Linked DNA regions of Saccharomyces cerevisiae S288C. The gene in region 2 interacts genetically with the main gene of each other region. Each region holds a gene or a part of one and is shown on either strand. Other genes may lie near its edges.

Region 1 (7,003 bases), on a different chromosome or scaffold from region 2:
CAAATAATCAACAAAACACTACACAAAAACTTCTACGATAATGGGTCCTCCAAGCGGTAAAACTTACATGGGATGGTGGGGTCACATGGGTGGTCCAAAGCAAAAAGGTATAACCTCATATGCTGTGTCTCCATATGCTCAAAAGCCATTACAAGGTATTTTCCATAACGCTGTATTCAATAGTTTTAGAAGATTTAAGTCTCAATTTCTATATGTATTAATACCTGCGGGAATTTATTGGTACTGGTGGAAGAACGGTAACGAGTATAATGAATTTCTGTACAGCAAAGCTGGTAGAGAAGAGCTGGAAAGAGTTAATGTTTAATATTGTTTCCATGCCTCTACATTACATCGATCTTTTGATCTTCTAAAAACTTACATATATATTCTGTTTATAAAACAAGAGCAAATAACCCCCATATATTTATTCAGTCAGTCTATTTATTTACTTACAGTATCAGTAATAATAAATACTTAAGCATTTTTTGTTTTGTATATCTTTATTTACTAACCTTGGTATGTAAGTGTCTATAAACTACACAGCATTTTGTTTTCCTCATCCAGGAGCTTTGTAGTAATTGTTCAATGGTGATTCTCTTCGTGGGGTCGACCTGGAACGTTCTATATAGTGCAATTTTCCTCAACCTATTCAGTTCGCTACTAACATGTCTTAATTCCTCAAATAGATAAAACTGTCCATCATCTTTAATTTCACTGAGAAATGATTTAAAAAGAGAATCCTTTTCAGGAATGGCGATTTTCCAAAGATACTGTCCCATGACCATTGTACAGTAAACAATACCACAACTCCAACAATCTACCAGACGCGGATCGTATTCTGCATCCCTTATAAATTCTTCAGGTGCCACATATGGCTCTGAACCCATGGCTCCACTCTGGAAGTGGACGTGTTTCTCCCAGGCAGTCTGAAAAACTGAACTAGTACCAAAATCACAAATTTTTAACAACCCATTAGGTTGGAAAAGGATATTTTCGGGTTTCAAATCACAGTGTGCTATACCATGATCATGCATGTATTGAACACCATTCAAAAGCTGTTTCATAAAACAGTCTGCTTCTAATGGGTGCAACGGACTCCCAGAACCTTCTTTAACAGTTTGGATCAATCTTGAACTCCCGTTATTCGATTCATTTGAGATGTTATTCCTTGTTAGCAACGAATATAAATCACCTGAAGCACAAAATTCCATCACTTCTACGAAGGAATTGCTATATTCCATTAGGTCCAAAATTTTCAAAATGTTTGGGGCATTGAAGACATGTTTTGGTGGAGTGGTTCTTGAAACATTTCCTGCTATCATCGCATTTGCCTCAAAATGCGGATGGCTCAGTGAGTGTCCAATAATGAACTCAGAGGTTAATCTCGTGCAAAATTTATCAATTTGGTCACCTGGCTTGGGCTTCAGCTCTTTGACGGCAAAGAATAGTTTTTTTCCATTAGAGTAGGTACTGTATGGTAGGACATCTTTAGCAGTCTTGCACCTTGCGCAAATTTTGACCACCCCGTATGCACCTGCACCGACGACCCCAATAGATTTTCCGTATTTTTGTGAACAAGGTTTATGAGATGTATCGTCATTGGTTGTTCCTGCCTTGCCCTCTGTGTCATCAGAATCCTCCTGTTTATTGCTATTGCTTCTGCCTTCGCCATTGTTGCCTTTTGTATTTTCACTTTTAAGGCCCTTTCGTATTTTTTCCGATAATGCATTGATTAGCTTCAACTCTTCAACACCTACAGCAGCGTTAGGATTCACGATTTGCGGAATATTTTTACCATCGTTTTTCATCAATTCATCATTATTGCCATTTTTAAGGTTACTCGTTCTCGATTTCTTTAAAGTCTGCGATTTGATGAATCTCTGGGATGGTATTATTGAAAATGCTTTTTCTAGATTGATTTGTTCGCCGTTTTCTTCTTGTTGCTGCTGTTGCTGCTGTTGTTGGTTTCCATCCTTATGAGATTTGAATAATCCACTTAAAGAAAACACAGATTTTTGTTTATGCATATTTGCCTCACTGTCATTGTCACCATCATCGCCGCTGTTTACAGAAGCGTCAGCATCCTTTTCATCGCCACTATCCACATTTTTATTGTTTGTAATAATTGGCAGCACTCTCAAAGAATGTTCGTGGTATCCGTTTTCAAAGACTTTGAAATGACCTAAATCCAAAATACATTTACATTCGATTTCTTGAAATTTCGGTAAGCTGGAAGCACTGATAGAGTCTGAGTGATTTCTTCCCCTCATGTATATTCTATTTCCTGTACCATTACCAACATTGTTGGTGGCATTTGAATTCATTCCACCATTTCCATTTTTCATTGGTGGTGACCTTGGTGTGGACAAACTGTTCTTCCTACTTCTTGTGCGATTGCTATGATTACGTACGCCCAGACTGTTTCTCCTTCTAAGTTTTGATTCTTCGTCATAATCAAGCATAGCATCAATAGAAAAGTTATTTTCCTGATCCAAAACATGGTTGGCATTACTATTTGCAGGGTTTGAAGAACCTGCGTTTTGTGGGAAGTTTTTCAGCCGTTCCCTTGGTTGTCTTTCAACCTCATCGCTACCAACTGTATAGCGGTGATGAGGCACATAAGCTTCCTTGGAACGTACATGTTTTGCACGAGCTTTCTCTTCCTTTTTATTTTGAAGATCCTCTCTCTCTAACAAATTGGCTTCATCTTCATCTTTTTCACTTATGAAAGATTCTTGTGAAAACATTTCATTTTCTGAATTCAAAGATGGTTCCCTACTAGGTGACAACGAGAGTTTTGCAATATTAGGGACGCCCAGTTTGTGATGCTTAGGAGCCGCTTGTAGAACAGGGCTATGTACGGGGGATATAGACGGGGAAGATACGTTGCTAGTTATTATTCTTGCTGTTTGATGAGAATGTGCTTGGTCCTGACCGGGACGAGATGAAGGAGCCGCAGCATTATTACTGCCTGATATCCCTGAAGGCTTAAATAGACCCTTAATGGATTCGGAGAGCGATCTGGCCCTCTTCAAAGATGTGTGGCGTGAAAGCTTCTCATCTCCCATTGTTTTTATTTTTTCAAAATTTTTTTTTTATTTAGCAAGTTTCTCTATCTCCTTTGTATTCTAAAAGTAAATGGATGGAAAGAATGGATCTTTTCGTAGACTATAATGCTTCCTAAAATATACACGTATAGAATGGAGATTCCGACTTGTTTGGAGCCACCAATTGCCCTTTATTTGGTTTATACCAAGGGGCTCACGTAAAAAAAAAATCGATATGCAAAATCCTTCATTTCATGATGCAAGCTTTCGAAAGTGGCGCGGCGAGCAAAGTAGAAAATCAAAGACAGAAGCGTAGAATAAAAGCCCTTTTAATGGTAGGAATACGCCTCGATAACATCATGTATGCAATCTACAAGAACAGTGAACGCCGTTCCATCTCCGTAGTAACTATACAGGGGTTGAAATTTCGTTTTCGAAGGATAGTTGTTATGTAGAAAAGAGGGAAAAAAATATGAAAAAAAAAAAATATAGATACGAGAGGAAAATACAACAAAACATTAGTCATTAGAAGTCCCGGAAAAGATCAGCATATGGGTCTTCACCTTGAACACCGTAGTTGATGTCTTCTTCCGGGTACTTATCGAACTGTGAGGTGTCACCTTGTCCCTGTTGAATGGGCGGTTCATACGGCGTTTCTATGTTTCTAGATAATAATTTTTCCCAGACAACTTCTTTGAACCAGGGGTGGTTTTTGACATCTTCTGTACCATTTTGTAAATTACCTAGTCTTTGACTTAAGTCTCTTGTGATCAATCTACTCAACAGGTCCTTTACATCTTCGTTGAAAAATGGTGGAAATCTCAATTCGGCATTCAAGATTTTCTCATAGGTTTTCATCGTGTTAGAGTCGTAAAATGGCGTGTATCCTGCTAGCATTTCGTAAATCAGAATACCGAAACTCCACCAATCGATAGATTTATTATATGGTTTAGTACTAACGACCTCGGGTGCTATGTAGTCGGGAGTACCGCATAATGTATATGTGACGTCAGGAACGTATTTGGCAAACCCGAAATCTGTTATCTTTATATGCCCGTTTTTATCAAGCAAGATATTTTCCGGTTTCAAATCCCTATAAATAATGTCCTTGCTATGCAAGTACTCCAAAGCTAAACAAACTTCCGCTGCGTAAAATTTAGCAACTGGGTTGGGAAATCTTTGGGATTTCCTTAACAAAGAAAACAATTCTCCACCTTCAATATAATCCATAATCATGAAAATTTGCTGAGCATCTTGGAAAGTCCCCCACATTCTAATAATAAACGGATGTGTTACGATAGAAAGCATCAATCGCTCGTCGTTGGTATGCTCCACCTGTTTCAATCTTACCACGATTTCCTTTTTCAAAACTTTCATGGCGTAGTATCTGCCATTATGTCTTGATCTAATCAAATGGACCCTACCAAAAGAACCCGTACCCAGTGTCCTTAATATCTGAAAGTCTTGTAAACTATACTTCCCACTTGTAACTCTCGCTTGGGCAATAAACTGTTTATACTGCTCCTCATTGTAATAAGTGACATGTGGCTGCTTCGGTTTTTCTTGGGTTTCTCCACCCTCTTTTTCTACAGACTTACTTTCGTTACCGCTCTCTGTGGCTGTTGTTTCCCTTTCACTAGTCTCACCTTTTTGTGATTCCTCACCTTGTCTATCATCTAGAGACTTTTGACCACCTCCATTTTGTTCTTCAGTCGACATACCCAAAAAAAAGATTCTTTCACACAATCAGCTATAATTCATGCACTGCTTAAGCTAAGAGAACACTACTTTCTGTGCTACCTTTGAAGCCGATTGAAAATGCAAGCAAGCCAAACAAAAAAAAAAGTATAGGGTCAGATTCCTTAGCTTTATCAAATTAAAACTCTTAGATGGATACAATCGCAGCTTCTATGATGTTTCGCACCTAAAAATTCTCACGTTTTTCTGGCCAGAGATAGTAGATGAATATTTTTCAAGTTTTCAAGTAAAGGGATACGATATCCCCCTTGATTATTATGTCAAACTTTTACCAGATCCCGCCTTCCCTCCCCCCTAATAGCGCGAAAAAAAAGATCATCATGATTACGTAGAAAAAACCACAACAACACTATGTTGAATCATGTCATAAGCAAAGTCGTTAGGACACTGGCTTTGCAAGAACGAATAGCAGCACAGCTTCGAACAAGTAACTAAAAATATGTGGTGTATACGGTATGTAAATGTTTTTAAGGCCCGTCCAGCGGAGGGTTCTTGTAAATTCTTAGGAAGAATGTCAACAAGATGGCAACAATACTTGTTGAGAACGGTATATACATAAACAGACTAGGATTAACGGAGACAGTACTTCCATATAGCTTAAGGAGGATGGGAGGGATGACAAGCATAACACAGGACCTTACCAAAGCCATTGCTCCGAACATCTCGCCTGTATGTTTCTTAGAGGTGTACTTTATGATACCAGACTGCAAAGTTGGTGAACAAAACGCGCTCAATGCCTGTAAAAGAGCGAATATTATCATGGATGTGGGAGTTTTCTCGCCAAATCGTATCATGACAAAGAGACTCAGTGTTATAACAATCATAGAAAACTGTATGCAAAAGATGTCTATCTTGTCTATCGAATGGTTCAAGTGTTGATAAATCCTCTTTAGCGTGTACAGTAATGTAGGTGATACGACCAGTAACACAACACCTCTTCCGATACCCAGTATCGATATGAAATAACCTAGCTCTACTGCATGCCATTTGTACTCATATGTAGAAAACAAAATCAATGCTGGCATACACGATGTCGTTCCACAGACAAATAGTATATCGAGTACAATGAGTAATATTACGGTATGCCGGGGTACTAAAGACCCTGCACTGTCGGGCTTCAGCCATAACTTTTTTACTGGAGCGAGCAGGTCCATTAACCTCATTATTTGAAATTTTCCATAAGTAACGGATTGGTAATTTCTTGCATCGTCAGAACCCGATTGTGATCTTAGTTTCTCTCTCCTCTTTGTATAAGTTGATTGTGAATGGGCCATTTGGGTTTCATGGCGCGGTTCCACCATGATTGTCTCACATATTATAAGCGCCAGTATAACAAACGCTATTGATGTGTAAATAGGAATGAACCCGTTTCCATGAGTCCACTTCACCAGAAAGGACCCAAACATTGGGCCTACGCCCATAGTGGCATATATACAACTCATCATTATTCCTATTGTCACCATTCTGTGCTCAGTTTTCACTATATCTGAAACGTAACTATTTCCATTCGCCACTAGCGCAAACAAGCCACCGAATGATGGTACGATACACGCAGTAAGAACAATAGCCCATTTGTGATACTTCATTTTCGATGATAGGGTAAAGACGTGCGTAAGAAGCCCTATGACCCTGATGCCGCTCATGTATTTGAAAACACGCACTCTTCCTATTCTATCGGATAATTCTCCCCACTTACCAGCCATGAAAATACTGATTGCCCCTGCTATCATCATAGTGGATGAAGAAATGCTGGAAACTATTGTCTGTACAGCCACGGAATCATAATGTCCATTCTCATCTGAAATTCCTTCCGCTACCTTGTCCATCACCAACGGTATTGTAGCAGTCATAGAAATAGACTCCGCAATACAGATAATCATAACAAGGCCGTAAAGGCATAATAGTTTTCTACGTCCATGCTCTCCCTCAACGCTTTTGGCAACACTCAAAATACTGGGGGAGCGCCGGATAGAGTCATAGCTACTGTCCTGAGCTGTTTCATTAGTATCCAAATTTATTCCAGTACTGTCATTTTGACTAATGATTTCTTCCAAGGCGTTGATCCCAGCCGTTTCCAATAAATAGTCCATCTCATCTGAAGACATTAAACGAGTTGTTTCATCCTCGTTTGACATTGTTCTGCGCCTTTGCTTCGCACGGTTTGAAGATGTATACGTGAAATGCAAGAACTAGGGTTT
Region 2 (7,898 bases):
CCTTACATCAGAATTACCAAGCAACACCAGTGTAGTATTCTCTTTGTTTGTACATCCAAACCAAAGAGGTGGTTGAGACAACCAATGGACCCATGAATCCCTTTCCCAACTTACAAGTTCTAAAGATCAATAATTCAGAGCCGAAGTGGAATAGGGCAACCATATAAGACATGAAGACCAATTCGAAAATGTGTGGTTCATTCAAGTACATAGCCCCATAGAATCTGATAACACAGGAAATAAAGGTCCAAGTACCGAAAGTTCTTGCACTCAAATGGGTTGTTTCAGTGGGTTTTCTTTCGTAGACTTTACGTGTCAATTCTAAACCAGAAACGTAAGTCTGGATAGAATTGAAGACTGATACAATGGAAATGAAAAGTAACCATTTTGGTAAGTAACCTTTTGGCATTGCTGCCAAGGTGGTCTTGGTTGTAGTTATTACGTCTTGTAGGCTGAACATTATCTGATACTTTAGTGTATTTGAATCCTTCGATACTATGGTCTAGCTAGTGTCAAGAATATAAAAACCTGAAATTAGTCAATGCGTTTACGTCAAAAATAGTAGCAATAGTAAAGCAAAACAACAGGCTTGTTCAGCTTAGTTTTATATACGGGGGTAGAGAATACAATGGATCGTACCTTTTTTTTTGTTTCCTGTTCGTTCCGTCCCCGAACGAAAAAATCATAAAATAGAAGTTTCCTATCGGTAATACCGTAAAGTTTAATTCAGTTCGTATAAGATTAGGTTAATCATGGGCAAGTCCGGAAGAAGCGTTTTAATGTAGGTCTGTTGGGGAAGATGTTGTGTTCACTGTAATTTTCAACTGAAGTTGTTGTCCCCGAAATGAAAGAGCTTTCGATATTTTTGTGTTTTATAATGCGCCTCCTACTGCAAAAGAAAAATTAAATGTTTTCTGTCTCATTGAACCATCTTGACAATCGAAAGCGCGCTATCAAATTTCTTTCGGCAGTAATTAATAAGGCCGCCTGTATATATTTCCTTTTCTTCTGAAGCGATATTTCATGAGCCGGAAATTTTTCCAGGAAAGGTTTTAAGTGCTGCCATTCAATGCTTTCAAATGTCTCGAGCAATGATAGAATAACTATCTTGAGTATTTTCAATAGACCCCCTAACTCTTTTTCTGGGACACCGCTTATTACACTGTAAAAGTTCTTTAAGTAGGTTTTCTTCAAACTCAATTCTCTTTCGAGGTATACTCGACAGTACGCCTTTTTCCGGTTGATGCATATTAGTTTATGCTTCGATACAAATCTAATAAGTACATGTATCAGACTTTCGATGATGATAAGTATGTGTTCAATTAATTTCAGAACAGATACGTATTTTAATATCTGCGGTTCAAATGTTTGGTTTGTCTTGATTTTGATGAGTTGAATGTTAATAATAGAGTAAATAAGGGTAAAATGCAACGAACACAAGCGCTTGTAGTCAACTTTATCACATAAATGTTTGCCATCTCCCTGGTCGTAAAAGTTTTGAAGCCATTTTGGATCGTTTTGGTTCTTCTTCAATAAAATTCTATTAAACAGAAACTTGGCGATGAAATTGAAAACATGAACGTCTATCAGTGTCCTCTTAAAAGAAGAATCAGAATCTATGCGATGCGAATAATGAGAAACTAACAAGATTTGGAGTGTTTGAAACACTTGCGATAACCCTCTAAAGTCAATTTCTTTTGTTTTTAAGCTCAGGATTTTTAGCAGAATTTTATATCTCGGTAAAAACCAGTTGTTTATATCAGCAGTTGATACATCTTTGCTAAATGATTGCAGCTCCTTTAAACCAACTGCATCTTCGAAGCTTTTGTACTTATTCTGGCAAAGGAAATTGTATATAGGTTCCAGATGAGCAAACAGTGATTTATTATTCAAAAATCCATTTTCGAAAGGCGCAACCCATTTGTATATATGTTTTGAGTTTTCCCGAGGATTTATTTTTAAATTTTTTTCACTCTTGAGAGCACCTACATCTTCGACATCTCCTTTCTTTCTTGAAAGTGCCCTCTTCCACAACGTAGGATTCCTGGATTGAATTAAAGCAAAACACTGTCATAGATAATATTCGAGGAGATTACACCTCTTACTAAAAGTTAGTAAAGAGAAAATAGGTTAAGGATGTGACAATTTCACGTACGATTATCCAGTCAACTTCCGATGTTTCCTTTTGTTCCATATCTTCCAGTTTGCCTCTACTCATGTCCTTACTCTTCTAAAAGATTATTTAATGAAACTGTTTCACAACTACAAGATGTTTGTTATGTTTTCTTTTACAAGTCGGAAACATTTAGCCGCCCAGCAATATATATGACTCCGAAAGAAAATGAAAGGAAATACATACATAGTAAAATAAATCGTTTAAACATAAATAATCGTACAGAGGAAAACATTAAGGAAGGAGAGTCAAACTAATGTACTGGGAATTTGGATCTCCCATAAGAAGTATGCGCAATACTTTTATTCATCATATAGACTGGAGCTGCGTATCATTTCTTCAATCATTTTCAGAAACCCGTTAACATCACTATCCTTGTTTTGAAGGCTTTGATAACTATTATTACCACCATTAATTGTGCATTCTTGCATGTGCAACCTCGAAATTTTCTTCATTTTTTGAACCAATTTTTCGTAATTTTCAATTTTTTTCTTCATCATTGTGTTTTCTTTGCTTATTTGGTCAAATTCCCTTTGAAGTTGTAATTGTGACATTTTCTTTCTCTGTCGACACTTGGAAGCGGCAATTCTGTTTCGTTCTAGTAGCCTTGCACGCTTCCAAGCTTTAGCACCGTCTTTCAAGCCTGCAGTATTGTTCTCTATTTTTTGGGGTCTAGCTTCCTGCTTTATTTGGAAGGTTGCTGTAGTGTGCATAGAGGAGAAGGGCGCGGTATGTACGTCTTTCTCACTATTAATATTGTTTTTCAGTGCAGAAGTGGCATCCTTGTATTGTGGTTTTGAGTTGGCATGTGTTAAATTGACATCAGGGCATTTCGATTCGTATGGAAGGCTGCTTGAAATATTCAACTCGGCATTTTGGCAGGAATTATTAACAGTGTGGTGATTAACGCCATGGGAAATTGAAGAATGGACGGATTGATTTTCGATATTATGATCATTAATGTTTTGGCAGGAAGAAGAAGAGGAAACGGAAGAATTAGAGGCTGGAGTACATGGATGCACATTCAATTGAGCGTTTTTCCATGCCTTAGTTTGCATTTGAGCTTGTAATCGGAGTTGCATGTTGATGTAAGCCTGATTCATTGTGGAATCGCCAGATGGGATAGAAGGCGTGGCAGAAGGAATGTCACAAGTGGCTGCTACTGCGGGTATGTTAAGCTTTATATTGCTATCATACGGGGTCATTGCAGCGTAGATATTCTTGCTACCTGTTTGAGGTGCAGCTTCGGGTATGACTGTAGCTTGTTCGTGTGGTTGTGGCACGTTTTGCAATTCGTTCGAGCTAAAGCTTGGGTATATGGCTGCGCTTGGATTTGCCACCTGTTGAGGATTGGGATTCTGTTGCGCCTTAGACGATAGGATCGGAGGCTGACAGTTGTAAAGATTTTCAACCGTTTCTAAGTCTTCGCCTAATTGACTAATCTGACCATTGGAGATAGATATGCGTCTTTTGTACACGGGCTGATCAAACGCTGGTAAAGAACTTTGAAAAATGGGAGGGTTGGTAATGGGAAGATGGCTGATGTCGACGCCAAAGGGTTGAAACATTGGACCCAGGTTTTCTTGCACGCTACGGTCATGCAAACTGTTTTGGTGATGAAAATTGTAGGCAGAATCCACAAGACCAGGACCCGATGGTTGTTTGTATATAAGCTCCTTGTTTGAAGATAGAAAATCTGTATATAAGAGTGGGTTCTGCCTTCCATCTAGGAAAGAATCTGGACTTGTAGCAAAATTATGCTTATAGTCCATACTTTATTTGGTTCCTTAGTCGTTACCTGGTGTTATTCCAGTACTATTAATATAACTCAGTACAATTAGCTGCCGTGAAAAAAAAAAAATAATAAGAATACAGTTTCTGCGCTTTTAGTCGGTAAGCACTCAGATTGAGAGATCTAGATTTACTATATTTTAATAATAACCAGTTAAAGCAGATTTTGAAGATGAACTAACATAAAAAAAATTGATGAATTATGTAACATAATCTTCTGTACCACCAGGGTAAATCGCCAAAGAATATCTGCATCTAAGAACAAAAGAAAATGGTGCCCTAAATATCTTTCAGATGAAAAACTAATTATATATCACTACTAAAAAAAGCCAGAAAAAGAAAAAAAGTAAAATAGAAAATAGAAAATAGAAAATAGAAAAATAGAAATTAAAATTAAGAGCATTTTAAAATTAAGTCTACAAAGTAATACTTGGCATATTGCTTAACTCCTCACGCAGAGCCTTAGCGTACCACTATTTTATCTGATACCACAAAAAGCTGCGCTTTGATGGCCCAACGGGGATATAATCGCGCCACTGCTACTCATGTGCTGCAAACTAACAGTGCCAGCAGAAGCGAGCATTGAAAAACTAAACTTTGCCTTGTTCTGCTTACTTCATGCAGAGGTACAGCTTCGATGTCCTAAGGTTGAACATCATCTTGCTTCGATTTCGGTAGTAATCATTTTGCCTGCACGCCATTGTATGAATCTCGTGCCACTCCCTTTTTAACTCCGAGATACAACTTTCCGTGGGGAAAAGTACCGTAGTATTGTAATTTCGAGAGCATCTTTACGGTAATTGCCCCTCCACACCCAGACGTTACACAACCCTTAGTAAACAGCTGCGGAAAAAAAGTGTGCCTACGCACTGTACGACTCCTGATTGATTCCTTCATTAGCACTGACTGGCTTACGGTGCACATAAGTTATTAAGAGCAGTTTAATTCAGTTGCTGAATAGTCACGTTGATGAGCACGAATACCTGAAACACCAACGGTAATGAATCAATTGGCCTAGCGCATCGTTGTGTGCTTGGGTGTGCCGCACAATGGCAACCAAATACTGCTCGTTCCTGCACTTCGAAAGAAAAGCAGCCAAAAGAAAACGCGTTTTCCTTTGCGAGCGCTGGTTTGTTCCTCAGTTTGATAGAGGCGTTCAATTGGCAATTTGGGCACTAACACCGATGATAACAAGATATCTTGACTTTGACCTCTGATATTGAGGCGTTCCAACCAATAAGAGGGGCTGACGGTTGAAAATAAGGGTAAAAGAGAGCTATTCGGGTTGGGTCGCAGATTAACTTAGAAAACATGTACATGCAAATGTTGTTTTTTACGTACAGAAAGAGGCTGATGGAACCAAAGGAAGCAATAATTTGCACCTTGATATTTTGCGCTTTCTGCTTTTGAAACCTTATTATATGCCTTTACATATACTGTCACGCGACATTTTCACCTTCTACAGTGTTTAATGAAAATCTGGCTTGTGTGCATTATCTTTTTTGTGAAAGTTTATCTCCGCTTAAACAAAGCGATTGAATCTTGTCTACGTAATTGGGCTCGTGGGACCAAAAGGCTACTATTTTCCAGGAAATTGAAGACTTTGCAATCGTAACAAGGTTTCTTTCATCGTTAAAATACAATCATACATAGAGATATATGGGCAAAAACCATTTCTTGAAGGATTTCTCTGCTTTACCGGAGGACGTACTCATAGAAAACGAGAGAGGCATAACTTTACTTGGTTACCCACTATTTTCTCCCAAGATTTTACTGCCTCACGTTGACCCACCACAATTTCAAAGACTAAACACTGAAAATGGCTCGTTAATTGCCCTGTCGAAAAATACTATATCGAACTTCATAGAACTGTATCCTATCGATCTGAGTACTGAACGCACTGCAGGCAGTAGCAGTTCACAGATGACAAAGTGGTTCGTACTGATGGATTACAAGGAAAAGTACGATATTGACGATCAAGGATGGTGTTATAGCTGGAATTTCAATAACTCTAGGTGGAAATCGAAAAATGGCTTGGTGAGAAGAAGGGTCTGGGTAAGACTACCTACGACCAGTCATGGATTAGATTAGTAATAGTTTACGCTAATATTAAATTGTTTAACAAACTAAGTAGTCAAAAAAAAGAAAAAAAAAAAAAAAAAAAAGAAAAGGTGACATTATGCAGAACATATTTTATCGATCCGCTTATGTGCACACAGTTTGTCCAGCTAGGCTAGAATATTATTTATTATTACCATTATTATTATATTATTATTATTATTATCATCATCATGAACCTGATGATCCGAATTGTGAAGCCCACTTTTCGTACTTCACTAATCCGTCCTGGGATACAGAGGGCTTGATATACACTAAACTGTTCTTAAAATCCACAAGGCCTATGGGTCTTATCATCTCCCTCTCTGTTTCTAATAACTTATCACCCAGATCTCGTAGTGGGCCCATGGCAGCATCCTTCGCTAAAGACGTTATATCACTTCCTGAATAGCCCTCAGTAATCTTTACCAGTTCATCAAAATCTGATTCGGTTAACGTGTGCTTTTGATGGGAAAGAAGCTTCTTAAATTGAACGTGTCTGGTCTGGTCCTCTGGTAATGGGATATATTGTCTTCTCACAAATCTTCTCCTTGCAGCCTCATCAATAGACCATGGTAAGTTTGTCGCGGCAAGTACCAGTACCCTTGTATCATCTTCGTCGCCATTGGTGTCAGAATTGTTAGTGTTACTTTTGTTTGAACCAGCCGCTGCGCTGGACAAGGATGACCACTGAACAAGAAATTCATTCTTTATCCTTCGGCTTGACTCATTTTCATTTTCGTTATTCCTACTACCCATGATAGAGTCAATTTCATCAACAAATATTATAGAAGGTGACAATTTTTTGGCAATTGCAAATAGTGCCCTCACTAATTTTTCACTTTCACCCAAGTATTTAGATGTCAAACTGGAAGCACTAATAGAGAAAAAGGTGGAGTGCGACTCTGTAGCTACAGCTCTCGCTAGCATTGTTTTACCTGTACCTGGTGGTCCAAATAAGAGCATCCCCCTGACTGGTTCACGTAACCCCCTGAATAAGTCTGGTCTCAAAAACGGATAGACAACTGCTTCCTTCAAAGAATATTTTGCACTTTCTAAACCAGCAATATCATCCCAATGAACTTCATCTCCGTGCACTACGATTTCGGCAAAAATTTGCTTTGCAGCTTGCCTATCTACACCTTGTAAACTATCAATAATTTCATCTTCTAAAATCTCCCTCAGGACTTTCTTGTCTATTTCAGGCTCTTCTCTTTGCTCATTTAGGGAAGTGGCATGTTCAGTGGCATCTTCTGTTCCAACATCTTCTATTTTTGGAGAACCGATTTTTTTTTGTGCTGGTATTTTTCGATTCGTTTTACTCATAGACGTGGTTTGATTTTTCGATGGCTTCTTATTCTGGGATGCACCATGCGAGTATGGTTTTGAGTTACTTACAGGTCTGGAAGGATGGCTACTCGTTTTCTTCGAACTGGAATTTGGGACTTTCGCCGTTTTGGATTTCAAAATGGGGTGACTCTTCTTCGTAGTGTTTAATGCGGGGTTACTCGCAACCTTTTTGCTGTTCAGAACTCTCTTAGCAGCCATTGCAGCCGTTTTGGGTTTTTGAATTACTGAATTTGGAACAGTCAGAGAAGAGGTCGGAGACGATGCATTGGATTTGATGATTGGTTTTGTATTACTTTTTGATCTTGTAATAAATGTTGGCGTTGATTTAGTGATAAGAGTGGGCGTTGATTTGGTACCCTTTAAGTATGGTACGTGATTATTCTTCATTAATTTTGATATTTGAGGATTCCTAATCTTTGATGAATCCATAGTAGTAGAAGTTTCTAAACTATGTGGCTTTAGAGCGCCAGTGCTGGACGCTCTATCG

Evidence for each region. A genetic interaction does not mean that the proteins touch.
Region 1: mutations in ACA1 (region 2) and HAL5 together harm fitness more than expected from each alone (negative genetic interaction), as found in Saccharomyces cerevisiae (3 studies listed by BioGRID).

Annotation. Positions count from the first base shown.
Region 1 is NC_001142.9:106,394-113,396, forward strand, and holds HAL5 (protein kinase HAL5), read right to left. Parts: upstream 3,069-7,003; coding exon 501-3,068; downstream 1-500. Other genes in the region: QCR8 (ubiquinol--cytochrome-c reductase subunit 8), read left to right, coding at 41-325; cAMP-dependent protein kinase catalytic subunit TPK1, read right to left, coding at 3,573-4,766; YJL163C (uncharacterized protein), read right to left, coding at 5,273-6,940.
Region 2 is NC_001137.3:237,557-245,454, forward strand, and holds ACA1 (Aca1p), read right to left. Parts: upstream 3,946-7,898; coding exon 2,476-3,945; downstream 1-2,475. Other genes in the region: ERG28 (Erg28p), read right to left, coding at 14-460; MEI4 (Mei4p), read right to left, coding at 904-2,067, 2,156-2,218; SPO73 (Spo73p), read left to right, coding at 5,624-6,055; putative AAA family ATPase SAP1, read right to left, coding at 6,254-7,898. UniProt on the Saccharomyces cerevisiae protein: Transcriptional activator of promoters containing ATF/CREB sites. Can independently stimulate transcription through ATF/CREB sites. Important for a variety of biological functions including growth on non-optimal carbon sources.